Schizosaccharomyces pombe: one gene and its partners. The gene in region 4 interacts genetically with the main gene of each other region. Each region holds a gene or a part of one and is shown on either strand. Other genes may lie near its edges. The genes, in order: ftm6, SPOM_SPAC9G1.07, ria1 and nop16.

What was found.
Region 1: mutations in nop16 (region 4) and ftm6 together harm fitness more than expected from each alone (negative genetic interaction), as found in Schizosaccharomyces pombe (one large-scale study listed by BioGRID).
Region 2: mutations in nop16 (region 4) and SPOM_SPAC9G1.07 together harm fitness more than expected from each alone (negative genetic interaction), as found in Schizosaccharomyces pombe (one large-scale study listed by BioGRID).
Region 3: mutations in nop16 (region 4) and ria1 together harm fitness more than expected from each alone (negative genetic interaction), as found in Schizosaccharomyces pombe (one large-scale study listed by BioGRID).

What each region holds. Positions count from the first base shown.
Region 1 is NC_003423.3:6,346-13,062, reverse strand, and holds ftm6 (transmembrane helix domain-containing protein), read right to left. Parts: upstream 2,495-6,717; coding exon 2,054-2,494; 3' UTR 1,712-2,053; downstream 1-1,711. Other genes in the region: SPOM_SPBC1348.04 (methyltransferase), read right to left, coding at 450-887; ftm5 (transmembrane helix domain-containing protein), read right to left, coding at 4,049-5,083.
Region 2 is NC_003424.3:1,979,839-1,987,505, reverse strand, and holds SPOM_SPAC9G1.07 (Schizosaccharomyces specific protein), read right to left. Parts: upstream 4,514-7,667; 5' UTR 4,325-4,513; coding exon 3,299-4,324; exon of another isoform or gene 3,254-3,298; coding exon 3,068-3,253; 3' UTR 2,964-3,067; downstream 1-2,963. Other genes in the region: inp53 (inositol polyphosphate phosphatase), read left to right, coding at 35-143; PAK-like GC kinase Sid1, read right to left, coding at 278-1,576, 1,633-1,749; putative mitotic spindle organizing protein Mzt1, read left to right, coding at 1,962-2,156; SPOM_SPAC9G1.08C (phospholipase), read left to right, coding at 2,213-2,938; cytokinesis protein Cyk3, read left to right, coding at 5,399-5,465, 5,549-7,667.
Region 3 is NC_003421.2:287,128-296,229, forward strand, and holds ria1 (GTPase Ria1), read left to right. Parts: upstream 1-2,752; 5' UTR 2,753-2,784; coding exon 2,785-2,880; exon of another isoform or gene 2,881-2,935; coding exon 2,936-5,088; exon of another isoform or gene 5,089-5,133; coding exon 5,134-5,887; 3' UTR 5,888-6,103; downstream 6,104-9,102. Other genes in the region: spb70 (DNA polymerase alpha B-subunit), read left to right, coding at 513-778, 820-1,798, 1,841-2,149, 2,189-2,359; kpa1 (DinB-like DNA repair polymerase kappa), read left to right, coding at 6,317-6,809, 6,849-7,288, 7,335-7,847, 7,894-8,091; oligosaccharyltransferase delta subunit Swp1, read right to left, coding at 8,355-8,840, 8,941-9,102. UniProt on the Schizosaccharomyces pombe protein: GTPase involved in the biogenesis of the 60S ribosomal subunit and translational activation of ribosomes.
Region 4 is NC_003423.3:4,377,262-4,384,396, forward strand, and holds nop16 (ribosome biogenesis protein Nop16), read left to right. Parts: upstream 1-3,155; 5' UTR 3,156-3,224; coding exon 3,225-3,370; intron 3,371-3,492; coding exon 3,493-3,976; 3' UTR 3,977-4,062; downstream 4,063-7,135. Other genes in the region: trp1 (anthranilate synthase component II), read right to left, coding at 1-2,239; chr4 (SEL1/TPR repeat protein1, 3-beta-glucan synthase regulatory factor Chf3/Chr4), read right to left, coding at 4,379-6,280; U2 snRNP-associated protein Uap2, read right to left, coding at 7,020-7,135. UniProt on the Schizosaccharomyces pombe protein: Involved in the biogenesis of the 60S ribosomal subunit.

The DNA of each region.
Region 1 (6,717 bases), 4.4 Mb from region 4:
GATTCAGCAAATGACCACCTCACACCTGCTTTCTTTGGCATTTATATTCGATCCATAACTTTCTAACCATTAATATAATGCTGAATTCATGAATGTTAACAATCGATTTCTAATAAGAATAGCCAATCTATCAAAGTTAAAAGCTCTGGTCAGTTTAATGGATTTTCGCTAGTGCATCATAGCCTTGATATTTCTAAGGTTTCCATTGGTTGTAAGTTTCTTTCAACTCTTCGTAAAGAACAGTTGTTAGCTAGCTAATTGAGTGTCTGAATTTTTTTTTGTTAATGGGTTCTTAAAATTGATGTATATGTCCATTCATCTTTATATATTTTATGTACATGAACTATTTACAACGCATTTTGGCAAACCATGTGTAAACATTTATTTTTCTAGTTAGGGGAAGATGAAGCAGGACTTTTCTTCTTTAATGTCTTCAATCTTCCAATAGTTTATAAAGAAAGCTTTTTGACATTGTTTCTTTTTAAAGCGAGGGAATACCTTTTATGGCCCTGCCACCGTCTATAACGTGATTTGTTTGTTTCGCTAAACGCTCTTAGGAAAACGGAGCTATCAGAGTGACATATATGACTTAACGAAGCTGTGTATGGCTCATGATCACTATTTAGAATTGAATGAAAACAACCAATGTCAATCACAGTGTCGAAATGCCCCTTGAATTCATTTAATCTTGAAAAATCGCGTTGATTAAAGTTGACATTACTTTTTTCACTAGATGTTTTATCGATTGCTTTAGAAATAGCCCTTTCGGAAATATCAATACCCACGACTTTATATCCAAGACTGGCTAAATATCTAGCATTTCTATTTGGTTCACAACCGGCATCTAATACATTCTCATGTAATTTCCCCAGTTGTACAAGATTCATGATCTATTCGTCTGGTTTCTCATTATCAAATGGTGTTGCGGGATCTTCATACATATTTTCCCAAACTATTTTTTACTTCAGAGATATATTTCTTCATTGTTCTTAATGATATATAAAAAATGGTGAAATATTTATTTATTGCCCCATCATGTTTATTTTTATATCCTTCTTTCTCTGTCAGGAAATCTATTTCCGAGCTGACGATAAAAAAACATGTTGCAAGTCGCCGAAACTACCTCGGCTTTTATTACTATGTCCGAAAAGTGCGCGAAATATTGGAATGGCTTGTAAATTATGCATTTAATCAAATAAAGTGATAGTAAGCGCAAAGTGTATGACTCAATGAAAATCGGGTGTATCAACTACTCAGTTGTTTACCATACAATGTATTGTAAATTATGGGTAGTGTCGTCGCTATTACATTTAAAAAATATATTATATTGAAGGTATCTAATAAGAAGTAAATGTTTTTCTGTGTAATAATAGTGAATTCTTCTCATCAAAAATATAAACGAACTGATTTTTCGTCACCTTATTAGGTTATACAAAGTCATAACAATGCAAAACCAAAGCGGATAGCATATCAAACTAAGAATATGACTTGCTATTAAAAATTAGTTTCGCTTGAGTTTTATTTTAAGAGTAGTAATAGTCAGAATTTATTGTGCTGATACACTTCAACTTACTTGATTAATAATTGAAAAAGAGAAATTTACAATTGAAATTGAAATGGATGGATTTGAAACAAACCATTCGTCAACATCACCGCTACTTTAAAAATGCTACTGTACTTGCGAGTATAACTACACAAAAGTACATATTTAAGCGGTTGCATCAAGTAATGTCATATATAGAAATACAATAATATAAACGGAGCACAAACTGAACCTCGTTCTTGATATATCAAGTCTTCTTTATTGTACCATAATGTTGTATGTCGTTGTGCTATATTTTTTTGTAAGTTACAATCATACTGATTGGCATAGCTTCTGCTTTTAACTTAACGGTGATCAAGCCATATTTGATCAGGTTAGGCAGAATTCCAATGATTGCATTAGAAGGTTTAGATCTTCAAGTCAATTTTACGATTACAAGCAAAGGAGAAATAGCAATCAAGCCAGTATCGAATACTCATTACACGTATATAGCAAGATACTATGGAATTGTTATTGTGATATGAATCTTGATGGTGGATTATTATAGCCCTGGTGCAGATCACTAATATCGGTTTTCGAGTAAGAATGATTCTTGCTTTCTGACCTAGTGACTTTCTCAATAGAGAAAAGTATAATGACTTGAAATTTAGAAAACGTTCTAATGGAGTTAATGGAGTGAGTTCTAATGAAACGAGGAAAAAATTTGTTATGATATACTACGACGCATCCAAATGTAAAGGATCGGAATTTAGATGAAGCCGATGGTACTTCCGAGTAAATGTACCAACAATATAATAAATAAATCAGCAATTTTACTGCTAGACAATATTTCACTGTGAGGCTTAGTCTTGGTATAAATAGAGGGACTCTGTCAAAACAAATATTTTGAACTAGACTCGAATTCTTCATAATTCTATTCACTTGAGTGTTTATTTTTTTTAACAATGCCATTACATTTACGAGATATGTGGATATCCACTGACGATTATAAGGATGTTTTACTTACGTGTCCTGTGTGGTATGAAATTAGTGAAAGAGAATTAAATCATGCTGTTTGGGGACAATATTAAAATGGTGAAGTTATAATGAAACAGTTGTTGGAAGCGATTAGTTTCAAAAATTAGCGACTCGTATTTTGTTTATTATTATTATTATTTTTTCTTTTTTTTTTATTCGCTGTTTTAAAATTGTTTCCAGCAATCTTCTTCCTGTTCTCTTTTTATCCGTTTGACAACACATTTTGCTAATGCTTTTTTTTTTTTTTTAGTTCAAAGAAGACTGGTACGAGAAATAAACAAGTTGAGTAGTTTCGAAAGCAATTGGCTCTTTCTTTTTTTTTTTAAACTTGTCTTATTAATGTTAACATAACATTTTGTTTTTAGTCCGAGTATGTCGTCAGTTGAAAACCGTAACGGTTCTCATTGTGCCTGTTCTTCCGGTTTATACGAATAAGGTAAGAACATTCAAGAAAGCGTTTGATATGAAGTCTGTTCCATTATTGCTCTTAGTGCCTGACAAACGTTGTTAGTCTGTTTTGAGTTTACAAGTTTGTTAAGCTAATAGCCATTCATTGATCTTCATTGTTACATGCTTTCCATGGAATAGTTGGAGGTGTTTACTTTTCAACTTGTTAGCGATCGCTTGCTAACATTTTTAATAATAGGTACTTTGTTGTTCTCAGTGTGACTGGCACGAACCAGCAAATGTTTACTCGATTGAACAAAGGCGTAGTCATGATGATGATCTTCCTACCATTAAGGGTTCTGATGCTAGTACTCAACAGTATGAAAGAAAAACTTATATTACCGATGCTAGTCCCGAATCTCAGAATCTGTTTTTAAGCAAAAGTAAAGAGGAGGGAGTTATCTTCTTATGCATACAAGTAAGCTTTTAACCTTGATTCTATTTATTCACTTTTACCATTTACTACTTTCGCAAATTCCTGTTTTTTGTTGGGGATATGAAGGGGAATATAAGGGTAAAGTAGATGAAATGGATGTATTTGAAAGTTGATTTGGATTCGATTTATTACTTTGAATCCCCGTTTATTATTATACGTTTATGTCGTTTTAAAGAAAACCATGCGATGTACTATATTAATTTTGTAAAATATATATTATAGATAAAAAAATTGTTGGGAAAATGGGAAAGCAAGTTGAAAATAATTAAATTCAATAAATTAGCAAAATATGTTTATGAAGGTAACCAGTTTTTTCTTTTTATTTTTTTTTTGTCTATATGTCAGATTCGCAACTTTTAAGTTTGAACAAAACATTATTTCACATCGACTCAAAGGTTATGTGTATTTAAAACGTTCCAGTAAAAAAATATTCATTTGTAAAAAATAAATAGGTGGTATATTAAATAAGAATGAACTTACTACACAATTTCTGTGTAAAAAAGTGAGATTAAAATAACTGGATATTAATCCATTGATAAACAAATAATAAATAAAATAATCCCGGTAACCCCTTTAAAGGTGAATCAAGTAAACCATGGTTTTTGTCAAATCATTTTCTCTTGAGCCTCTTCAGCTACATTTCGATTGTAGGCAAGTGCTTCATTATGGGTGGGAAACATTATGTAACATGGAAAAGCAATTTTCTCCATAAAAGTGAAAAGATCACCAATGATCACCGACAGTCTGTAATCAAAGTTTCCAAATATAATATTCGACAGGTAATGCAACATTGGAGATGCACAGAATATAAAGATAAATGCATTTAGCATTCTTCTAAAAAATCTGGCTTTTGAAGCATTTTCGTAAGTTGTTACAGACGTGCATTGTTTCAATAAATGACAAATAGAATACACCCAAATTGCAGGAGATACCTCATACTGGATCATGTCAAAAATCTCTGATACTACATATACGTCTTTATATAAAGAAATCCAGTATACAGAACATAAAGCAATGACAATACTAATTCCTTTTATCATAAGATATTTAGGAACAGTTCTAGTTATGCCGAAACCCAATGCACAGTAAATCACAAATAATCGATAAAAATTTGTCCGAAGAAAATCAATTATTTCATACACCGAATAAAATTGTCTGTATTTTATACATTCGGAAGAAAAAACATACTCCTCAATGCATTCTTGTAGAGTCTGATTTAACGCAAAAAGAAAAATATAAAGGCAGATTACCTTTTGAGCAGGAAATATAATCTTGCTGAAATGTAAACAAGTCCATATCCAATAGCTCAAAAATAATAGTACTCCTCCCATTTCAGCTACAGAAATATAGTTCCAAATGCCAATTTCGTCATTATTAATTTGATCTTCTGAAACCGAATACCCCATAAGGTCTAAATTAAATTCAGCTCCATCCATTGTCATTGGTCTCGCAGCTACGCAGTAAGAACCCGTTTCATTAATCAAAATAGTTTTCCATATACTTGTAATATTTTCGCCCGTCCATACCGATTCCGAGTTACCAGAATATGCAAATGATCCCATCTCTCGGTTTTGGGAATTAAATTCCTCAAAAAAAGATTTTTGGATCACCGTGTCTCTTGATTTTACAAAGTCAATCATCTCCTCAACTTGATCATTCCAGCCAATTATATTTTGCCATTCATTTGCTTCAAAAAAAGACAAAGCAATTTCTCTTTTATCGAAGCTTTGTGCAAAAAAATTAGCATGTATTCTGGCACCGTTAGATTCCTCCACAATGAACCAACTGCACTTAAGAGTGAGCTTTTTGGCTTCTTTAGGCAGTCCATTATGGTTTGACAAGGTAGAGTTTTCCTTTTATGTAGTAATAGATACTGCTTTGGCGTCTACTTCACCTTTAACTAGAGTATGGAGAACTAGGTTGCATAACAGCAATGCTAGTGTTTTATGAAGACGCATCTTTAAAAAAGTTGGTAAATGATGCTTGCTCAAGGGAAAAGCAGATCAGGAATGATTAGCCTTTTATATCTTTCGTTTTGGAGTTACCGTGCTCCACGTTGCATAACGTTAGCGTTAAAACATTGGGAAGATTGGAGGGAAAAGAACACAAATAAATGGTTTGTTCACGCATCATACCTTTACTTCAAGATTTAAATTGTACAAGCACAAGTTACTGAATATAATAAAAAATCTGTTAAGTATGGAACGTGAAAGATAAAGTCATTCACCGTTGACTAGTTCTATTCCGTTAGTACTCGTACTTCATTCGATGATTGAGTTAATAACGCCGTTGGTAATATCCCGAGAATACAGAAGCTTTTTAAAAGAAAAATATAGCAAAAAAAAAAAAAACTGGTAATGACCAGTGGATAAAGAGATAGCATTCGTTTTTTTTTGAATTTAGCAATTATTAATTTAAAGCATAGATTGAAATTCAGCATGTACACTACCAATCTTTTTTTTTTTTTTTTAATTTCAATAGTTTGTTTTTACGATTGCGAGCAAGCGCCAGAACAGATTATAACGTAGAAAATTCAATTCGTCTAACTTATGTCCTGCAATATTTTCGCTTAGCAAGCATACACCACACCACCGTCCAACCATTATCGACCTAAAATAAATTCTGTCATTCAAGGTTGATCACTCCTTTTAGGCAAGATAGATAATAAGACGATTTGTTATAAAACTTTCTTTCTCAAATTTTTCTGGTCTGTCAACCATTTAAAAGTAGTCCAAAGATTTAGAATCTTTTACTGTTTATTCAAATAAAGCTGTTTAGTATTTTGTAATTTGAAAATTAGAACGATATCTATAATCACTAAGCGAATAATCACTAAACGAATTATATTTCAAACAAAGCCTTAAATTAACTCGAAGCATTTTCGTCATAAAAAATTGAAACCAAATTGTTTCTACTAACAGATAATGAATAAAACTCCTTTCCTGTAGTGAATATGACGCTGAATTTTGGGTTAAAGTAGATGAAATGGAGTTTTTGAAACACAAGTGGGAGTCCAAATTGGTTCAATTCGAAATTTTTTATTTAATATAATATATTTTAAGCTTTTAAAAAAAAAATATATAAAAAAGTCATTTTTAGTATTTGAATAATTATGAAACGAAAGATAAAAACATTAGTTACATTAAGTGATAATATCTTAATTAAAACCATAATTTGGTTTGGTTCCATAATTGAAATTCATAACGAACGCACCTTATGTGCATGATTTGGACAGGACAGTCAATTCGAACATTGTTAAGAATAGTTATATTCT
Region 2 (7,667 bases), on a different chromosome or scaffold from region 4:
TGTTTTTTTTTGGAGAATTTTGCTAACCAACCAGAATAACCTATGTCATGAATTATACTTCTGTGTCTTATCAAACGGCTGAACAATATTTGTCTGGAAATAACTGGAATGTACAAAATGCTTTAAAGCAAGTGTCAAGTTGATTTCGAATAGTTCTCGTTTGGATGTGTTTATATATATTATGTAGATTAAATTATAGTAGAATATGCCATTATAAGTTCATTTAAATACAAAATTGTGAATGCTGTAAACAGGTTGTTTACGAGTTTTTAGTAAGCTATCCATTTAGACTTCTTCTTTTCTCAGTTTCTTCAAGCCACCGTGAAAATAGTAGTTGTGATATGGGGCTCCGCTTTTGCTTTTTGTGATGCAGTCTGTTGTCTGGAGTAATTTGGTTAACAAATTTTGAGGACAGATTTTTATCTAAAGAAATGAAAGATGTATAAAAAGATTCTAAAGATGAGCGCTGCGTTGCTGACAATTTATCATTTAATAACATCGATCGTATGGTGGACTTAATATAATGTTTCATAGCAAAATCGGAAGTCAACGATTTATGATAAGAGCTACCTTTTTCAGACAATGACTTGGAAAAAGGATGCGGTGTCGCTTGATCACTCATTATAGTTTTCTCTAAATATTTTATTGATGAAGGCAATTCCTCTTTATTTTGTGAACTGATGATGGAATTTTTAGGAATGCTAGTATTCCCTAACACAGTTGAGTCAGATTTCTTTACAGTTTCAAATGTCCAATCCTCAATGTCAGCATTTCCTTCAGCAATTGGTTCTTCAAAGGGCTTTAAAGTATTATTTATGGTTTCTTCCAATACACTTTGATCCGAATCATCAAATAATTTATTCTCCTTCTGAACAAGCAAAGGAATAATGTCTTTCACAGTTCCTGCGCTTTTGATGAATGGGTGTTGAAGGAGTTCTTTAGCTGACCATCGCATATTAGGATTGAGATCTAAGCAGCAGGACACAAAATCACGGAATGTTGGACTGAAATGATCATCTAGCTTTGGAGGCTCGGATTGAGGAATTTCAAAGATGACACGCATTGGATGCATTGTAGCGCGGGGCGGAATTCCGTTAGCCATTTCAATAGCCGTAATTCCAAGAGACCAAATGTCAGCAGCTAAACCATAACTTGTTTGTTGTATTACTTCCGGTGCCATCCAAAATGGCGTTCCAACAAACGTGTGTCTACGCGAAGCAGCGTTCGAAAGTTGAGCGGCAACTCCAAAGTCAGCAAGCTTTACGTTTCCGGTAGAGGAAGATAGTAGTATATTGGCGGCTTTGATATCTCTGTGGATTTTGTTTTGTCCATGAAGATAATTTAGCCCATAAAGGACCTCTCGAAGAATGATTGAAATTACTTGTTCATTCAACCTTCCCATTTTCAAAAGTCCCGAAACTGATCCTCCATCCATATGCTCCATCAAAATCCATAATGTGTATCCGTCAACAAAACAACCGTAATACTGAATTACATTGGAACTGTTGCAATTCGATAACATAAATACCTCTTGTTCGATGTCGGTAATGTCGTCAATACCTGTTTCTAAATCAATCTGCAACTGTAAGTTTTTTGTGATACTAAAGAAGAGTAAAAATTAATTAGTCTTACCTGTTTAATAGCGATAATGTCGCCAGACACATTTTCACGTGCTTTCCAGACAACCCCAAATGAACCTGATCCTAATTTCCGTAGCAGAGTATAAGAATTAGCATTGAGAGGATACATTTCATCAATATTTTGACTGCTCAAATCTGAGGTTGAGCCTACTTTCGGTTTCGTTTTACAAGCACAAGCTAGATGCACCACGAAGTACTTTGTTTATTACTTAGAGGATTATAATGAGCTACTCCGAGACGCCTATTCCAGTAAACTTAACATTACCAACTTGTTACGAAGTATATATAATTAGACTAGTTTATTATAAAGTATCGAGTTTTATGTCTGAATCTACCAAAGAGACAATAGAAGTTTTATACGAAATAGGAACATTGCTTGGAACTGAACTTGATAAAACAACGCTTTCACTCTGCATCAGTCTTTGTGAAAACAACGTACACCCAGAAGCAATAGCTCAAATAATTCGGGAAATACGTATGGCTCAGGAACAAACTGTTGACACAGAACCAAGTTAATGGCAAGAAGTTTAATCTCAATAGTTGACCTCGGGGTTTAGTATTTCTTTTATCTAATGTCTTCTTTAAACAGTGTTCTACCTTCAAATGCATGCGCAGAGATTATTGAAGGGAAAGACAAGGTTCACAATGTAGTTATTTTAATGCATGGACTTGGAGATTCTCACAAGAGTTTTGCAAATATGGCAAAGAACGTTCCGTTGCCCAACACTAGTTATATTTCCTTACGTGGACCATATCGATTACCATTAGATTTTGAAAATCCTGGAGGCAATTGGATGTGGGGAGAGGATGTCCATTTTGATCAAAACGGGGAACTGCAATCTGAAGCCGATTTCTCTAAAAGTTTTACGATGATTTCAAATTTAATTGGCAATCTACTCTCTTACGGTATATTATCTTCTAGAATATTTTTTTTCGGGTTTGGTCAAGGAGCTATGGTTGCTTTATATAGTTGTTATAAATTGTCTACTAAATACCAGCTTGGAGGGATATTTTCCTTTGGAGGTACTCTACCGCTATCCATAACTTTGCCCAATCATCCATTTCATGTTCCAGTGTATTTGTTTGAAAAGCGATTGCATTGTTCATGCAGCGAATATGAAGAATCGCGATTACGTAAAACATTTAAACCATTTCACCTCACATGTTGGAATCGTGATGATAAAACTGACATGCCTTCATCCCCTAGAGAATGGTATACATTCGTTCAATCTATTAGTAAACATTTGTATATTCACAACACGTTGTTTGAAGATGCAATTCCTCTTACATCTTTTTAGAATTGATTTATTTAAGTTAACATTTGTTCACAATAAAGTTAATATTCATTTGGGCATAGATATAACAATAACTCCTCTAGCCATTATGTGATTAAAATTAGTACGTTTACCTTTTGATCATTAAGATTTTCAATCGACAAGATAACTAAGATCCGGAAGCTTATCAACAATTCTATTAATTAGTTGATTTTGGTCAACTGTTTTTATATTTCCACGCCCTGCTCTCTCATTATTAAGAAACGAAGTATTGATCGATTGAATAACAGCCGGAGTGTCTTTAGGAGCTGACAATGAAGTAGAAGGTGAACTAAAATTCTGAAAAATTAGAGTATTTGGCTCAACTTGAGACTCTTCACTTACATCATCAACGGAAGCAGAAGCTAAATTCGATGAGTTTTTCGAGGTATCTTGGGAACTGACCCATGAACCCCATTCAAAATTATCAGAGGTTGGATCCGGGGAAAGAGACGTTGATGAATTTTTTTTCTTCGTTTCTCTAATTTTTTCTTCAGAGTCAAGTTTAGCGATTGATGAATGTTCTTCGACTTCATCAACTTTTTTACGATCCAAACTTAGTGGTGATTTTGGAACAACTTCATCCTCTTTATTTATTGAAATTGTAGAACAACTGTTGCTTTCCCTCTCAATCAATTTGACTGGGGAAGAAAGGAAAGTATTTGCAGATAATTTGTGATCCTGTTTAACAGCAACTGTATTATTTAAAAGAGCCGTAGAAGAAGAATAATCCTTGGGAATTTCATTCGATGATAAATTAGAAAAATCAAGTATATCTGAAGGAACATTTATACTGGAAATCTTGGTCGTAGAAAAATTAGATAAAGGAGACTGTTCCGGTAACAAAATATTTTTGTCATTGATGGGCGGTGTGACAGGTGAATTGGTATAGCTTGCTGTTTTCCTTTTCTGCTTCTGATAAGCTGTTGACCAACAAAAAAGCACATTGCTTTTTCGATTTACATTAGACCGTTCTTGGTTCCATAAAGTCATATGTTCTTTAAGTAAACGACTAATGGTTCCTTGTTTTAGTTCTCCTAAACTTTTCTCATTGTATCCTAAGCGGATTAATTGTCTAAAATTGGTTTCCGAGGTAGCTGTAATACCTATATAATCTTTGGATGCCAATGAAATCCGTTTAGGAGGCTTGACAACGCCAAATGTGTAATCCAACTTTTCATTAATATCTTTCAAATTAAATGTGTCAAGATTGAGAGCATTTTCTTTCCAGACTGATGCCTCCATTGAAAAACTGACATCGTTAGTAATTGAGGGAATTGCTGAATTCGAGTTGGATATATTTTCACTACCCCATGCATTATGAGGATTAGAGGCGTTCGAAAAACTAACAGAGTTCAGCAAATCATCCATATAAATCACATTCCAGTTCTTTAAGTTGTAGATTCTCAATTTAATAATATATGAGTGGATAAAAAAAACGTAGGTGCCATCAACTTCGGGTTAAAAAGAAAACAAAAAGAGCCTTAACTATACTTCTTTTATAAAAGGAACCTTTTTAGAGTATTAGTATAAATGCTCAAGATGAGTTGAAAGCGGTTCGGCTAGGGTAAGCGACTTAAGCCACCACATCGTGTGCAACGCAAGTAGGCAACTTAAATCCGTTCAACGTATTTAGTGTGAAATTAAAAATAAAATAAACTCAATTAAATTTCCGGAAGAAGAATAAATTTTATAAGTAATCATTTTAAAATAGGACAGAGTTTTTTAACAAATTTTAAGCTAGTAAACAATTAATCTAATACTCTGGCGAAAGTTGCTAGCTTTATTAAAGAGGAATCTCATATGGACTGAAGCATCGTGCAAATTTTTGAAAATTACATTTGGTAAATTAAAACCTAGATTATTTCATCTAAATAATATGGCTTAAAGTGCGCATAAATATGGATGCTGGTTTCAAATCATTTGAATATTATGTCTTGTGCAAAAAGCTCTTTAAAAAAATTACAGAAGTGCAAATGTACCACATATTTCAAGTTAAAATGAACCCTTCTAGGACTTCTAACAATTTTAGTAAATTTTCTCACTAAATCAATTATAATCTACATGAAATGAATCTAACATCGCACTCTTTATCGTTAAAGAATGTTTCATGGTAGCCAAATATCTTTCTTTTTTTAATTTTCCTAAAATGAAATTCTAGTATGGTTGAATTTATTACCGATCTGCATTTTATCGAGTATTATTGAAAATATTTCCATTTTTTAATTGTGCGCTAAGTATATAAGTCGCGTTATTAGAAAAATTATGATGTACTCGGTTAATTGAGCTCTAAAAAAAAAACAAAGTTATTAGTGTACTTCGCTTAAATAAGAATCTTATCTTCACATTCATACACAACTCACATCACGTTACGGAACTTCCGCTCCGCTCGTTTTTTATATTAACTACCAAAGACTATAATTTCATTCCTTTAAGCCTTCAGGAATGTCCATTCCTAAACAACTACCATGCATGGTACGTGCTCTGTATGCATGGCCAGGTGAACGTGAAGGTTCGTAACATTTAAAGATGCTGTTAAGTAACGTCGCAATTATTGATGTAAAGTTTAAAAAATATATATTAATGTGTTTTCAGGTGATTTAAAATTTACAGAAGGAGATTTAATAGAATGCTTAAGCATAGGTGATGGAAAATGGTGGATTGGCAGACATATCAATACTAATACACAAGGGATATTTCCTAGCAACTTTGTTCACTGTTTAGATATTCCCACGGTACGACCTGGCAGTTCTATGTCAAGAACTAGCGCTTCTAGCTTTAGATATTCTTCTCCTCAAAAAAGCTCTATAGACACCCCAATAACTTCATCTGATCAAGGTCTAACTCCTGATCTCGTTGGAAGCTCAAATGCTTTGAATAAACCAACCCGAGAGAGTGACTCACTAAAACACCAAAAAAGTCACCCCATGCTCAATTCGCTAGGATCAAGTCTGTCACTTAAGAAAAGCGTATCTAGACCGCCATCTTCAATGTCTCGTACCAACTTAGATGTCTCTTCCAGATGGGACAATACAGCCGATAACGACTCTCAGATTGATGCCCAAGATTTAAGTAGATCTACACCTTCCCCTTTAAGAAGTGCTATGGAAAATGTTCTTCAATCGTTAAATGCAATGGGCAAAAAAAGTTTTAGTCGAGCGAATTCCCCTCTTTTAAGACTTACGAAAAGCACTACAACTAGCAAAGAAACGGACTTCATTCCTGTCCCTCCTGCACATGGGTCCACAAGTATGACTTCTCGATCCAAGCTGGATGATTCAACAGATAATTCGTCAAAACCAAGAACAAGTTTGCAACCAGGAGAATCACCTATGAAGTCTTCAAGAGATATTTCTAGAAAACCTTCCATGGCTTCATCAGTTTTATCTCCGTCTGATTATTTTCCGCAGCACAGGCGTTTTCAGAGTGCTCCCGCACCTATTCCCAGACCCGTTTCAACATTGATACCACTAACTCAAGTTCGGACCACCGCGTCGAATGTTATAAAGCCAAGACCGCAAACAACGGAGCGACCCTCAACTGCTCAATCGTTTAGAAAAGGTGGTGGATTTTTAAAAAAAACTTTCAAAAAGCTTTTGCGTCGTGGATCGTCAAAACGTAAGCCCAGTCTCCAACCAACTCCTCCGGTAAGTTATCCGGCGCACAATGTTCCTCAAAAAGGTGTTCGTCCTGCATCGCCTCATACATTAAAATCAGTAAAAGATGATTTGAAACGTACAAAGACATACACGAAAGCCGAGTTTGCGGCGAAACGGGAAGAAATCTTCAATAAGCTTTCGATGCCGGTATATGAACCATTGAAGGATCTCAGTGAATGTATTGGGAATGTTTTAGCCGACGGCGAGCCAGTGCAGTTCTCTGTAGGTACTAATATTCATAACATGAATTTTAGTGCTATTGATAAACAAATAAGGTCAATTATTCCACAACGTGTCCAGGTCAGTCCTGCTGTACTTGCAAAAAATTATTTAGCTCCAGGACAAACGACTGCGCTCGCTCAAATGAGAGCCGTCTTTATATATATTTCTGAACGTATTACGTTCACTAATCAAACTTTGGACAATGATGAATTACGCACAAGTACACAAGTAATTTCCGAAGGACAGGGAACTCCTTTTGAAGTTGCACTGTTGGTTAAAGAAATGTTGCAAGCACTAGATTTATGGTGTGAGGTTATCGAAGGATATCTTAAATCACCAGATGACATCTATTATACCAGAGATATTAATATAAATCATGCTTGGAATGTTGTTACATTTGACAATGAGGTTCGTCTAATTGATGCTAGTTTTGCCAGTCCAACACACCCACAGCAGGCCTTGAAATCCAGCAGCTCCAATGATTTTTATTTTTTAATGAAACCAAACGAGTGTATATTTACTCACGTACCTGAGAATCCGGACCAGCAGTTTATAATGCCAGATTTGTCTATGCCTATAGTAATGGCATTACCTTGGGTATCGTCTGTGTATTTTACTTTAGGATTGAAGTTGCGTAAATTCAATACCAGTATTCTACATTTAAATGACCTTGAAGTTTTACAAATCGAATTTTTAGCTCCAAAGGATATTGAATGCGTTGCTGAAGTTGATGCTCTATCTGCTTTAGCACCTACTGCTGATGTTTCACAGTGTTATAAATACACGTTAACACAGGCTTTCTGGGAAACTCCGGATATTCGTGTTATGAGAGT
Region 3 (9,102 bases), on a different chromosome or scaffold from region 4:
GTAAACTAATATTACATAGTAAAAGCATCTCGTTAAATGTTTAAGGAGGTTTAAAAAACACATTAAACCACATACTACTGCGTTTCTCCACAGTATCCACGGAGCGTCCCAGTATATCCGAGTTTTTATTAGAAGAGCGATTTAAGTAGTTGCTTTAAGAAGATACACTCTCCTATCCTAAAAAGGTTTACTCATAATTATTGGTGGGTACCTCTTTAAGTGGTTGAACTTTCTGCTATACGTCGTTTTTTCTATCTGTTGTTAGGTTGGAATCGCGTAAACAAATTAAAAAAAGCAACTTCGAAAATCTATCACTGGGCACTTTTGGACTGGGATTGCTAGTACGTGTACTTGTATTTTTTATTCTTATTTATTTCTTTTTCAGGACCCACATCACAGTACAAAATTAGTCACTTCAAATTAATTTGCTCGTAATATTCCCAGGTATTCATTTACTGTCTTTTTTTTTGGGTATCTTGTTTCATTTTCAACTTCATTCAATCTTCAAAAAAATGGAATTTCCTATCGATGATGAGGAATTGCTAGATGAGCGAAATAAACTTCTCCAAATTTGCAATATGGACGAGCAAACAATGTTCTACAAGTGGGAGTCCTGGTGTTTGCAACGAGGAAATACACCAAAACTCGACCTTGACACATTCAAGGCCTTTGCTAAAGACATGAAATTTCAAATGGAGAGGCAGGTAAAAGCCACACTTAAACAGAATCCTGAAAGAAAATCGATAAAGCAAATCCCGGGAATGAATATTGATAGCATGTGCGTACATTAGCAAATGGTTTTAACTAACAAATATCTAGACTAGGTCTACCAGTGAAGACCACCGCATCAGGCGACTCGTTGATGCAAGAGTCTAAACCATCTACCGAAACTTTCGAATTGAATTCCAGTGACGCTGGAAGGGTTTTGGAAGTTTTAAATAAAGAATTAAAAATTGTAACTTCAAAACCTTCAGCTCCATCCAAGCTGGTTATCGTAGCGAATTTTGATCTCAAGGCATTTAATTACAGGATCATGTATCAAAAGCTTTATGATTCTTCTGAAGTTCTGGATGATCGCATTGAGCTTTTTAGTGCATTAACTTGCAGAAAATACAACATAAGTGATGAAGATTTGGCAAATCCTAGCGAACTTACTCAAGAACCCGTTGTAGTTGTAGGACGAATTGTTGTCGAAAGTACCAATTTAGGTGGAAGACTCAACCAAAATAGCATTTTACTTGAAAGTTCAAGACGTCTAGGCGCTGGTGTTCGAGTTCGTTTGAAGGTGGATGATCTACCAAGTTACTCAATATTTCCTGGTCAAATTGTTTCAGTTAAAGGATCCAATCCTAGCGGTAACATGTTTATCGCCAAGGAAATCCTTCCTATACCTCCTTTGCCGTTCCCAAGTTCATCTAAACAGGAGCACGCTACCTTTGTTGCTAATACAAATAATCAGCCAATTTCTATATATATTGCATCTGGACCTTGGTCTCTCCGTGATGATCTCTCTTTTTCCCCTTTAAAATCAATGATTTCATATGTAAATAAAAATCCTGTTGACTTGGTTATTCTATGTGGTCCATTCTTGGATATTAATCATATACTAATACGTACCGGAAACATTACAGGAACGTCTGCGACTTCTTTGGAAGAGTTGTTTAAAGAGCGTGTCACACCCATATTAAGCCAGCTAACTTGTCCTTGTATTTTAATTCCTCACATCAATGATGCTGCTTCAGATCATCCTGCATGGCCACAGGATGCATTTAATCGGGTGGCCTTAGGTCTTCCATCTGTATGTTAAGTTGTATAATAATTTTTATTGACCAATCCATAGAACTTCAAATGCTTCCCGAATCCTTGCATGTTTTCCATTAATGATGTCGTCTTTGGTGTGTCAACCAACGATATACTCCTTCACACATCTAGAGAAGAGTTATTTCGTCTACCTTCTCATGGTAACTTATTTGCACGTTTGGTTTCTCACGTACTTCACCAAAGGCATTTTTATCCCTTATTCCCTGGAGGTTCTCTTGAAAAGTGCAACCCTTCAAACTTAGATATCGCACATCTTAAACTTGGTGAATTCCTAAATACTATGCCGGACATACTAATTTTACCAAGTGATTTACGTTATTTCGTAAAGGTATGTTAATTTTCTACTTTGTTTTAACTAATGTTATAGAACGTTGAAAACGTTGTATCATTGAATCCTGGTAAAGCGACCAAAGGGATTAATTTGGGCACTTTTGCAAAATTAACTATCGCGCCATTAGAGCTCGGGGATAATGGTTCTTCTAATCATTATTCACATCGTGTATGGCTTCGAACCAAGGCAGAAATTTTAAAACTATGATAATTATACTCTCTTTTTCTGCGGAATTTATTGAAAATATAAAAAATTCAGCGTTAAATATCATTGGTTATCATTATTTATGTAGATGTCTACCATAGACCGTTAGAATTAATTAACTTTTCAGCTTTCATTTTCTATCTATCGCTATTTTGGTTTTCTTCAAATTTTGTTTGCAAAATTACTCATATGTTTATGTTGTTAATTTAACCATTTTCCTCAAATGTCTAAGACAATCTCTGATATATCTCAAATCGCTACTCGCGAACTTTTAGTCGTTGTTTTATAGTTGAATGAGTATTCCTTTTATACTGTAGTATTTGAATGTTCAACATTTTTTCGATTTGGACTCTAGTCTTGGTGTTTCACATCTCAACCTACTTAGTCACTACAGTTGACCTCCAACATACATAGGGGAAGTAGTGCAAATGCCTGTTATTCCTCCAGAAAAGCTTGTGTCCTTACAAAAAAATCAGGAAAATATTCGTAATTTTACATTACTTGCTCATGTAGATCATGGAAAGGTATGAATTTTGCAATTTTAAACTTTTTTGAATAGTTGCTAATGATTAATTAAAGACAACCCTTGCAGACAGTTTACTAGCTTCGAATGGAATCATATCTAGCAAACTTGCTGGTACTGTTCGTTTTCTTGATTTTCGCGAAGATGAAATTACGAGAGGTATTACTATGAAGTCTAGCGCCATTTCATTGTTTTTTAAAGTTATAAGCCAAAATGATGAAAAAAGAGTTGAAAAAGATTACCTGATTAATCTTATCGATTCTCCTGGTCATGTTGATTTCAGTTCTGAAGTATCTTCGGCCTCAAGGCTTTGCGATGGTGCATTTGTTTTAGTAGACGCAGTTGAGGGTGTTTGTAGTCAAACAATTACTGTCCTTAGACAAGCATGGATAGACCGTATAAAGGTGATTTTAGTCATTAACAAAATGGATCGTTTGATTACTGAACTGAAACTGTCTCCTATTGAAGCTCATTATCATTTGCTTCGACTTGTTGAACAAGTAAATGCTGTCATTGGCACCTTTTATACTGGTGAGCTTATGCAATTAGCTGATAACGACGAAGTCATCAGTGATGAAGGTATATATTTCGCACCTGAACAGGGAAACGTTGTGTTTGCTAGTGCATACGATGGCTGGGCATTTTGTTTGGACCAATTTTCAGAATTTTACGAAAAAAAGCTTGGATTAAAACAAAAAGCACTTACAAAATGTCTCTGGGGTGATTATTATCTAGACCCTAAAACTAAAAGAGTTCTTCAGCCCAAACATCTTCAAGGCCGACGGTTAAAACCAATGTTTGTACAATTTGTTCTCGAAAACCTCTGGGCTGTTTATGAATCAGCTGTGAGCAATAGGAACCTTGAAAACATTGAGAAAATCATTAAGGCATTAAACATTAAAGTTCTTCCCCGTGACATCAAATCCAAAGACCCTAGAAATTTGCTACTTGCGATTTTTCAACAGTGGTTGCCACTATCAACTGCAATTTTGTTAACAGCGATTAGGGAAATTCCTTCTCCTATTAACGCCCAAGCGAATCGAGCTAGGAAAGTTTTGAGTTCAACTCCTCATTACGAAATGATAGATCCAGATATTACACTGGCTATGGAAAGTTGTGACGCTAGTAAGGAACAGCCTGTTTTGGTATACATAAGTAAAATGGTAGCTTTTTCTGAAAGAGATCTTCCTAATCATCGTCGCAAACAACTTAGTGCTGAGGAGATGAAATTGATACGTTCAAAATTATCTGAATCAATTGAGAGCGGCATAAATACCATTTCTATTGAGGAAAACGTTTCTTCTACCAACTCTGACAATTTAGAAGGTAGCACAACTGACATGGACGATGATAAGGACATTTTAATTGGCTTTGCTAGGATATACAGTGGCACAATTTCAGTTGGACAGGAAGTATATGTTTATGGTCCAAAATATGATCCAGTCAATCCTGAAAAACATATTACCAAGGTAACGGTTGAGTCATTATATTTAATGATGGGACAGGAGCTAGTTTATTTAGAGACAGTTCCCGCTGGTAACGTTTTCGCAATCGGTGGCCTTGCCGGAACGGTTTTGAGAACAGCAACACTATGCTCATCTCCAAATGGTCCTAATTTAGTGGGCGTAACTCAGCAAATGGAGCCCATTGTGCGGGTCGCTTTAGAGCCTGTTCGTCCATTTGAGATGAACAAGTTAGTGACTGGCCTTGACATGCTTAATCAAGCCGATCCATGTGTTCAAATAGCCGTTGAAGAAAATGGAGAGCATGTAATTATGTGTGCCGGAGAGATTCATTTGGAAAGATGTTTAAAAGACCTTAGGGAACGGTTTGCAAAAATTGAAATACAAGCATCTCAGCCACTTGTGCCATATCGGGAAACTACCATAGCTACACCCGACTTATTAGCAAAAAATAAAGAACTGAGTATTGGCTTTGTCACTGCAACGTTACCAGTTGGCGGAGTTACGATTGGAATTACAGTAACACCTCTTTCTGGGTCTGTCGTAGATTTTCTGCTGAAGCACTCTAAAACAATTGAAAATGTTAGCAGCAATTTTTCAAAGAAAAATAGAAACGTTGTTGTCTCGGAATCTTTAACAAAAAGTATGGAGGAAGTGTTGACTCCTGAGAAGTTTTATGAAAGGCTTTCCAAGCTTTTAGAGGAAGAGAACTCTGACTTAGGCGAGCTGAAAAATCATTTGGATAGGTAGGTTATACTAGTGTTCTATTGGTTGATTACTAACAATACTAGTATCATTGCGTTTGGCCCCAAACGAGTGGGTCCTAATATACTTTTTGACAAAACCAAGAAGATGAGAGATTTTCGACGACAAAGCGATGAAACAAAATTAATACCCTCAGACCTTTCTGAATATGTAGTTACTGCATTTCAACTAATAACGCACCAGGGACCATTGTGTGCTGAACCCGTTCAAGGCATTTGTGTGTCAATCGATCAGTTTGACATATCTGATGACTCGGAAGATAGTAAGTTACTTACCATCAATAATCCCCAAATCCCCGGTCAAGTTATTTCGGTAGTGAAAGAGTCTATTAGACATGGATTTTTAGGTTGGTCACCGAGACTTATGCTAGCCATGTATTCTTGCGATGTTCAGGCCACATCTGAAGTCTTGGGTAGGGTATATGGTGTTGTTTCGAAGCGACGAGGACGAGTAATTGATGAAGAAATGAAGGAAGGGACTCCATTTTTTATTGTAAAAGCCTTGATTCCAGTTGTTGAATCCTTTGGATTCGCTGTAGAAATTTTGAAAAGGACATCTGGTGCTGCCTATCCTCAATTAATCTTCCATGGTTTTGAGATGCTAGACGAGAATCCCTTTTGGGTTCCAACTACTGAGGAGGAATTGGAAGATTTAGGCGAGTTAGCCGATCGCGAAAATATTGCTAAGCGCTATATGCTGAACGTTCGAAAAAGGAAAGGCTTATTGGTAGAGCAAAAGATTGTTGAAAAGGCAGAGAAGCAGAGGACACTGAAGCATTAAAGATAGTACTTGATTCCAATTTCTTTAGGAAAACGAAAAGATTGTAATTTGATGACAATGACCTGGTTAGATGGAGGTAATGTTTTTTTTTTTTTTTTTGTTACATTGTTGAGGTAGCTGTGATTTTGAGTTAAGTGTTTCATGAACTATGGGACTAAGATTAGAAGTCTATAAGATGAATAGTGTAAAACGCACATGCAAGATTCTTTAGGCTTCTTTTTGTTATGTTTTAAATTGTTAATACAAATTCAAATTTCCAAAAAATACCGATGTTGTGGGATATGCATAATACAAATAATGATATACTCTACTGCGTAATCGCTAGAAGGTGATAGATTACAGACGCGACGCGCCAAAACACAAACACATCTTTGTACTAATTCAAATTCTAGTATTTTGAAAACTATTCGCCTTAATGTTTTTTGACGGATGGAAAATGCAAAAGATTTTATAGGAGAAACAATAAAGGAGAATGGATTACTTACCATTGAAGATGATGGTAGCAGTAGTTCAGATGAAGAAGCTACTTTAAAACGACGATTGGCAGGCCCTTCTGTTCTCAAGTCAGGACAGGAAAATGTTAATCAAAAAAAGATTAACGAGATAATTTACGAAGCTTCCAAAGGAAGTAAGTTTTTTGAAGCCGAACAAAAACGAGACCGAGAACTTCGTTTAAGAATAGAAAAGGTTCAAGTTGAGGTAGAAAAATACCAATCAAAATTAAGGTTTGATAAAGCGTTTCAAAGAGAGTGGACCATTAGACAAGAAAGTGTGGATACTACTGTTGAGGATTTTAGGGCTAAACGAGATTTGACCCAAATAATTGTTCATGTTGATTGTGATGCGTTTTATGCATCAATAGAGGAACTTAAGAATCCAAAACTTAAGTCTTTACCAATGGCAGTCGGGAAGAGTGTTTTGTGTAAGTATTCGAATCTGACTGAAACTAATGCTGAATAAGGTACTGCTAATTATGTGGCCAGAAAGTTTGGAGTTCGATCAGCGATGCCAGAATTTATTGCTAGAAAGATTTGTCCTGATCTAGTTGTAATTCCGTTAAATCTTTCTGAATATGCAATAAAATCTAAAGAAATTCAGAATGTGCTTGCTCAGTATGATTCGAATTTGTGTCCTGCAAGCATTGATGAATTTTATATGAACTTGACTTCACATTTACGTCTCCAAGAGCTTGCATTTACTGTAGAAAACATAACGATGGTGGTTGAGAAAATCAGGAAACAAGTGCATGAAGAAACAGGAGTTACAGTCAGTTGTGGTATTGCAGCAAACAAGTTGTTAGCCAAAATTGCAAGCAATAAGAGAAAACCAAATAATCAGTTTTTTATCCCATTTGACGAGATTGGGATTTCAAAATTCATGAATGACTTGCCTGTTAGAGAGGTAAGCAGTCTTTCTATATCTGGTTAAGCATTCTTTAACATTACAGGTTTCTGGTATTGGTAGAGTTTTAGAGCAGCAATTACTTGGTTTGGAAATTAAGACGTGTGGGGATATTCAAAGAAATTTGGTGATTTTATCTTATATCTTTTTACCTAAAAGTTTCCAAAACTTGTTGAGATGTAGCTATGGATTTGGAACTACAATTTTAGACGAATACGGTGAGAGCAAACGAAAAACAATTGGGTCTGAAGCTACATTTTCCAGCAATCTTAGTTCTCCGTCAATAATCGAGTACAAGCTCAGACTTCTTGTACAAAATGTATCTGAAAATTTACAAAAGCGCGGATTAGTCACAAACTCGATCGCTATAAAGTATAAAACAAGCGAATTTCAAGTTCATACCAAGCAAAAGAGCATAGGTCAATTCATTCATTCAGAATCTGATTTATTGAAACCAGCTTTGCAATTGTTGCGTCAATCTTACCCTATGACTATTCGTTTATTAGGAGTCAGAGCAACAAAGCTGGTTAGTAAATCGCGTTGTTTGGCCATGCAACTTGTAAGTCAAGCAAATATACTGCTAGCAATATGCTAATTATTACTAGAAATTCCAAAGCCAGAATACCGTTCCTTGTCCCGTTTGCCAGAAAAATATTGAAAACGAATTAGGTATACTGAACCAACATGTCGACCTTTGCTTAAATGTCGAAACAGTTAAATCCTTGATCAATACCGATCATACTGCAAATCCTACAATCAAAAAAAGAAAATCAAACACATTAGACACATATTTCTTGGAATAAAATTTATTAATCTTGACCTTAAAGCAACATTAAATAAGTTTTGGATTGCGAATCATTGCGCAACTAGCTTATGGTAAAAGTATTTGACAGTTTGTATAGACCAAGTAAAACTTTTAGAGAAAGAATGTCAAAGACAACTATTTTTAGATAAAGTAACCATGCTATTTTACAAAATAACATTGCGGTACTGAAAAATATTACATAAATGTCAACGTCAATTGTAAAGTCATCGTCAAACTCAAAGATTGTAAGGATAGGCCGATTTAAAGACTTTTAGCAGCGATTCCGCACATGATTGCGACGCCAGCAGCGTATGCGCCAAATTGGAAGATGGACAAAGAAGTCCAGTAAATAAACAACAGGATTTCTGCAACGGCCAAGGAGGCAAAGCCAAACGTTCTAGCAAATGAAGATGATGACACAGAGTAAACATTTGATTTTGGTAACAATTTCTGCCACACACCGAGCAAACCGATTAAACTAACCACTACCGAAACAGAAAAGCAAATACTTAGAAAATAATTTGCCCTTTTAGGAGGGGGAGAAAATGTATGAAGAATTACTTCTTTAGGACTTAATTCGTCCAAAGGAGAAAATTCCGCTTTATGGTACAAAGAAGGAGGCACATTAATGGAAAGTTGACCCAAAGGAAGTGAAAAAGGAATGGTTTCACCAAAAGAAGCAACAAGTAGTTTAGCCGTAAGAGTTGAATCACTTCGAAGTAAAGAAGTGGGAATATCAAATAGACGCTATAAGGTTAGTAAATTAATCGCTAAGAGAAGTATTCAAAGTGAGAATTCTTAGATTAAATTAACATTCTAAGCTGCAATTCAACCTTTCCCAGCGTACCAATTCTAATGAAGCGACGCCTCCTTGCGATACCGAAGCAGGATAGATCACAGCGAGAGTCGGGTGTTCAGTATCGCTTAGTAAAAGATGTGCTTGATGAGGAATAGCTCCAGTACCATTTAATATACAGGTAAACTTCAGATTTAGAGTCTCATCGCCTGT
Region 4 (7,135 bases):
CAAGATCTTGTTTCCCGTCAGTCTCCACCCCACTCGATACATCGACTACAGCTGGGCGGCTAACAGATATAGCATCTTGTACATTTTTAGGTGTTAGACCACCAGCTAAGACATAAGATACTGGAATGAAAGATGCAGCTTCCCAGTCTACTTTCTTGCCTAAACCTCCTGACTCTCCACCGACATATGCATCAATCAAAGGTACAATATGATAGTTGGGCCTTGAAATTTCAGAAGAATTTAGCGGAAACACCTTAATAACAGGTCTATCGAGCATATGTATCCATTCGAAAGGTTCTTGTCCATGAAGCTGGACAATATCCAAGTTCACTTCTGCTATTATAGAACGAATGTATTCTAATGGTTGATTTTGGAACACACCGACTAACAAAGGGTGCGGAGAGGAAGCAAGATTTTCATACTGATGATCAAACCAACTTTGACCAGTCACTGCTTTCTTTGGGGAAATGTGTTTTCTATTGGTTGTATGAACAAAATGTGAAATTTCCTTGGCCACGGACAAGTCCACTTTTCGTTTGCTCTTTTCCACAAAAATTAACCCTATCAAATCGCCTCCTGATTCTACAATGGTTTTAGCAGCTAACAATGAACGAGTACCACATACCTTCACTAGGGGTGTTGATGTTTTTTTACCATTAGATATCTCGCTAGAAGAAAGATTAAGTAACTCTCGTGCAAAAGCGGCAGGATCCGAAGCTCTCATAAGAGATTCACCAACAAGAACTGCTGATACACCTTGACTACTATAATGGGCAACATCAGCAGGACTACTAATTCCACTGAGAGCTGCAAGAATAACATCATCTGGGACCATTTCGGCTAATTTTGATGTAGTGGAAAGGTCTACTTCAAAACTATGCAAATTCCTGTTATTAACGCCGATAACTTTAGCACCAAGTTCTATAGCAGTCTTCATTTCCTCAGCACAGTTAACCTCTACTAACGGTTCCATGCCCAAAGATTTAGAAAATTTATAGAGGGACTCTAATTGTTCACGGCTTAACATCGCAACGATTAGCAATACACTATCAGCACCATTCAAACGAGCCTCCATAATTTGATAAGGGTCAATAATGAAATCCTTTCTCAAAATTGCAGGCCGATTAGCTACATGCTCAACAGCTTTTCGCGCAACAAACAAATCATTCAATGAGCCTTTGAACCATTTTGGTTCTGTTAACACAGATATGACTGAGGCGCCAACCTGAGCATAAGTAAGAGCTTGGATAGCAGCATTTGCGTCTAACTTAATGTCACCTTTAGAAGGGGAAGCACGTTTGACTTCAGCCATTAAAGCTGGTTTAGATTGCTTTAATCTCTCATAAAAATTTATACATGGAGGTGCTATGTTAAGGTTCAAATATGTTTGCAAATCACCCACAGAAAGACCAGGCTTTCTTTTACTTTCAGCAATGTCAATAAGTCTCTGCGCGTGGATTTTCTCAAGGATAGATTCTTGTTTGCGAATTTTAGTTGAAGAAACAGAATTCGAATTTTCACGCATAGCCGCGTTAAATGCGTTATTTTTTGTAGGCATAACAATGCCATTTTCTTCCCAGGTTCCAGCAGTGAGATTCAAAAAATTCTGAATATACTCTTTGCCATACTCACTAAGGATACTTTCAGGATGGTATTGAACACCCTCAATAGCATACTTTTTATGGCGTGCACCCATTATTACACCATTCTCGGTCCAGCTTGTAACGTCCAAACAATCAGGAAGTGATGAAATTTTTCCAGCAAGAGAATGATATCTTGTTACAGAAATATTTTGAGGTATTCCTTGGTAAAATCCGAGACCGTCGTGATTTATTTTAGAAACTTTTCCATGTATGATTTCACCAGCGGAATCAACTTTACCACCCATTGTCTCAAAAATACACTGAAGTCCCATACACACACCAAGTATAGGAATCTTTCCAGCAAATCTCGAAATAGCCTCGTTACAAATACCACCATCACGCGCAGGATGTCCAGGCCCAGGTGAGAGAACTAGTTTTAAAGGATTAAGTTTTTCTAATTCATCGACAGTGATTTCATCATTGCGAAAAACCATAATAGGATATCGTTTTTCCAGATTAGAAAGATATTGAACAACGTTCCAGGTGAAACTGTCATAATTATCTATCATAACAATTGGTCTTTCAGCAACTTCTTTAACTGCATTTTCTGAGGCGTCTCCTTTGACGCTTTCACCAACGTCAACTTTTTCAGACATTTTCAGCTTGTTATAATTGAGACGTGCTAACGTTAATTTTCCAAAAACTCAAAACCAAAAATGCTGAATGAAAAAGTAGCCGATGATGGCAAATGACAATTTCGACTTTTGAATGATCGGGAAAGATAGTATAGAAGCGATGTTTCTTGCTAATGTATTTTGCGAACTGCAACGAAAAATATATTTGGTTTTAAGACATTGCAACTAAGAAATCATCGCATAATGAACGTTAGCAAATAACGATAACAATCGTTGTACTATTGTACTAGAATTAGCAGGTAAAGAAGAAGTTTGACGAGGAGAAAACGAAATTTTTTTTATACTGGGGTTAGGGAATAACGAAATCATAAAAATAATCTTTAATTAGGCATAAAAAAATAATTAAAAAATTGGTGTTTCAATTGTCGGTTCATTTAAAACTGTTAATATAATAAAGTTGTAAACCAAATGACTAAACAGTGATTTTAAAAGTATCCTATAGCTGTTGTTTACTCTGGTAATTCGACACGTAAAATACATGATTTCTCGACTTCAACAATTCTTGGGAATTTTTAGAAATTTACAGTTAGTGCTAGATATTGGAATGCCACTAAAATTAGTGTATTCGTTGAGGAAGATCAATTTATAAATTTTGTTTCAAGATTTTATTGAAATCTCTATGAGAATATTATATCGTTTCACAATTCATACAGCTTTATAATGTAGACAAAAAAAAGATGAGGGTACTTAAATTTTATACAATACCAAAAGGATTGATGATAAATGTGATAACTGTCAACGTCTATTAATTTGAGAAATATAAATTAAATGGACAACAGTCATTGTTAAACTAGGTCACAGAACTATCTTATTGTGTTTCGTTGAAATATTATGTAGACATACTGCACGTAGTCTACATTCACCTCCACTTAAACTCACGAACAACCAAATTTTTTTGATTGCTTACCAATTTCCATTTCCCCCCATTTATCTCTAAATAGATAAGATGGCAAACCCTAGACAAAGGAATAAGCAAAGATCTGGAAAGCCTCGTTTAACCAGGCGTAATGCTAACAAAAAGGCGAAGGCCAAAATTTACGGAAATTTTGTGATTCAACAAAATTGGGATAAACATGCAACCTTAAGGCAGAAGTAAGTTAATAAGTATTGCTTTATTTGTTTTATACAAATGAAAATTGAGGAAAAAGTTTTGCGCTCCTTCTTGGTCTTATGTTCTTTTCTTTCTTATAGAATTGCTATTAACAAATAAATAGTTATGCGAGGTTGGGTCTTTTAGCTACTCCTAATTATGTTACGGGAGGTGTTGAGAAGCTTTATCCTGATCCTAAACGTGAAAATGAGGATCGTGAGCTTACCTCAGAGGAATTGGATGAATTGAAAAAATCTTTACCACCTGGTCAAGCAATTGTTAGAAGAGATGATGACGGAAATATTATTGAGATTATTCACGGAGAGGCAAAAACACTTGATGATGTTTTAGACAAAGAAATTAGCATTGCACCGGCTAAAACGGAGGTTGTTCGTCAACTAGAAGAAGAAGCTGTAAAAAAAGCAGCTCGACAGTCTAACAAAATGCTTCCTTTAAGTGCATTTGAACATGCATATATTCAAAGACTTATAAATAAGTACGGAACTGAAGATTTTGAAAGTATGGCCAAAGACGTTAAATTAAATTCTAAATTATTTAACGGATCTAAGCTCAAAAATTTGTATATTCGCATGAAGGCTACAAAGTAAACATCAATGGTGATATACGGACGGTAAAATGGTGATTGTGTTCTAGGTATATTTAAATTAATAAATTTTTATTTCAATACTATTAATTCTATTAGAAAGCAAATATTGAGACGACTAATTTGTATGAAACAATAATTACACAGTATGTATTTCTTCGTGATCCAATTTTGTATTATACTATCGAAAAAGTAGTGAATGAAAACATGTATTTAAAAGAAATTGCTTAAATGGATATCAGCTAACTATACAATTATAAATGAGCGTTAGACAATTCGAGGACAAATGAGAGAAATAAAAACCGGATTATGCTATGTGAATGCAATTGAACACTAAAACGAAATTTCGGGGAGAAATCGATTCCAATGATAAAAATGATGTTCTAAGGGAGCAAAAATTGCCAACTTAAGATATAATACACTTGTTATGTTTTATAAGAAACTTTTTAGATGTCTTTTTGGGAACCGAAACCTTTGTAACTTTTGTTTGCGAAACAGGGGGCGCAGAAGTAACAGGGGTAGATGAGACAGCTGGTGCGTGCGGTGGAGAAGTTTCAGAGGCTGTAACAGGTATTTCTTTTATAACGTCTTGATTTGGGTATTGTGATGAAGTTATGTTTTCTGGTTCGGGCTCCTGAATCTGATTCTCTAGAAGTGCCAACCGCTCAATTGCTTCACTATGTCCTGCTTTAGCAGCCTCATTATACCAGTATGTTGCCTGTTCTGTATTACCTCTTGTATCGAATAAATAACCCATCAGGAATTGAGCATTAGCATTACCAGCCATAGAGGCTCTTTCAGCATGCATAAAGGCTAAATCCTCATCAACGGGTATACCATCCGAGCCGTTCAGGTACCATTTTGCAACCGCGAGATCAGCTTCTGTTTCCCCCCTTTTAGCGGCAGCACTGTAATAGAACAAAGAATATCGAGGAACGACAGGGCAGCCGTATTTTCCGAACTCATAGACAGCTCCCATTCGTAATTGAGCCGATGAATGACCCAAAAAAGCAGCTTTCGCAAAACTTTTAAGTGCAGTTGCTTCATCTATGGGAACTCTAATATTTTCAGACCCTAAATCTACTAATCCAGGATGTTCATGAAGATTCACCAAAGCATGACTATACAGTCCGGATGGAACATCGGCATCAGCTGTATCTGCGCTTCGTTCGAGAAGTTCTAGTCCACTAGCGTGCCTGTGTGCATATTCTCCAACACCGTCCAACATCCCTTCCAAAATTAAAAGCGATAGTCTCCAACAGCATGCACTGTCATTCTCTGAAACACCCTTTTCAAAATATTCGACGGCTTCTTCTAGGTTACCTTGATCTTCCAATAACACTCCTAATCTGTACAAGCTTCGTGTATAGCCTAGATTAGCAGAAGAAGAGTATAAGTCCCAGGCCCGCTGGATATCAGACTCTACATCAAAGGCACCTGTCTCGTAGACATAGGCATCGAAATACATTGCTTTAGCATTCTCTAACTCTGAAAATTCTCGAATTTTATAGAGCGCGTTTTCGCACATTGATTCCAAATAATTAATTTCATGGAGGTTTTCGCTTTCATATGTTTGAAGATATGGTAGATGAGATTGGGTAAATCGAAGGACGTATTCTGCCCACTCCAATGCTTCGTCAATGTCTTGAGAATGTACAAGGTCTTCATTGGCGCGAATCCAATCAAGTTGCTCTTCATCGGATACTGGTAAGGGAAAAGGTAAATCCGCTACTACCTGCTTTTGCAATGGGGATCCGTTATTCGGTTTAGGGTTGTGATTAGAAAAATGTGCCTCTTCATGAGGGAATACAACGTCCGCGGCTTCATTAGATGTACGTAAATATCCTGGGGCAACACATGGTGTAGAATGAGAGCGAGTTGCTGAAGGAGCTGAGTTTCTAATATTCGGCAAAGGACGGTCCCGTTTTGTTTCTTGTGAGCTGGTAGCGCGTTTAATAGTTAAAAGAATGCTAGAAGAGGATACGTTCGGTCGTGAATAAAAATTCTCTTTTTTCATGTTGGTTACAGAGGCACTCAAACTTTGTGTATCGTTCATTTCCGGTGCAATCATGTCGCCAATACCGTAGGCAGGTCCAATGGCATCTGTTTCAAAGGGAATGCTAGATTGAACATTGGAGAGGTAAAAAGCATTTATTCGTGAGGCAACTTGAGGATCGGTTATAGAATGCCCAATTGAGGACCTGTTTCTGCTTTTGATACCGCGTATATTGTTCACCGACTGAGAAGAATATGAAAATTCCGGCACACCCAAGGGGCTTCTATTTCGCATAGAAGATGCTGAATCCATTTAATGGACTTTTTAGGAGAATAGTCAGATTAGCAAAAGAAAACTCGTGTAACGTGAAAAAAAAGAGAGTAGCTAACCACTTTATAAACTTTAAAACAGATTTGTAGCGAACCTAGCAACTTTCACTAGAGGAAGATTTGAAAACAAATAATGTCTATAACTTAGATCCTTTTCCTCCTCAATCGCGTTCTAAAAGTAGATCTTATAATGAAAGGGTAGTGGGAGTTGTCAATATACACACATACACACATTGGAACGGTTACTTCCTTGACCAGCGCAGTATACCCTAACCAGCATAAATCGGGGTAACAAGGTGTAGAGGAAAGAACAGAAAAGATAGTAGTAGTAATGTGCAACGATAATCAACATGAATGAATATCAGGAATAACTAATAGCGCATAGCATAATAACAAACTTATATTGATGCACGTCTAAATAAAACTGCTTTATACATGAGGATGTAAACTAGCTATTCATAGAGTATTTGTATGTGTTACAAAAATTAGGGACCATTCAATTATGATAGGAAGAATGCCTTATTATGACTGATAAAACTGTTAGCTTATTCTTTTATCCGAAATTGAAAACAATTGATATTTCGCCAGCTCATTGTCACTTTAAACAAGGGATAATTTTATTTTAAAAGAAGAAAAAAATAAATAAATAAAGAGGTCAAGAAAAACACACGTATAAATGGATAATGTGCCAACTGAGACATAGTTACGAAATTTAAAAAATTTCAGTTAGAATTTTCTAACCAATCTGCGAATTTTTCCAAACGTTTTTCCTCGTCCTCTTCATCATCTAATGTATGCTTTCCACTTTTCTGGAACCGAACCTTTCCATCGTAAATTG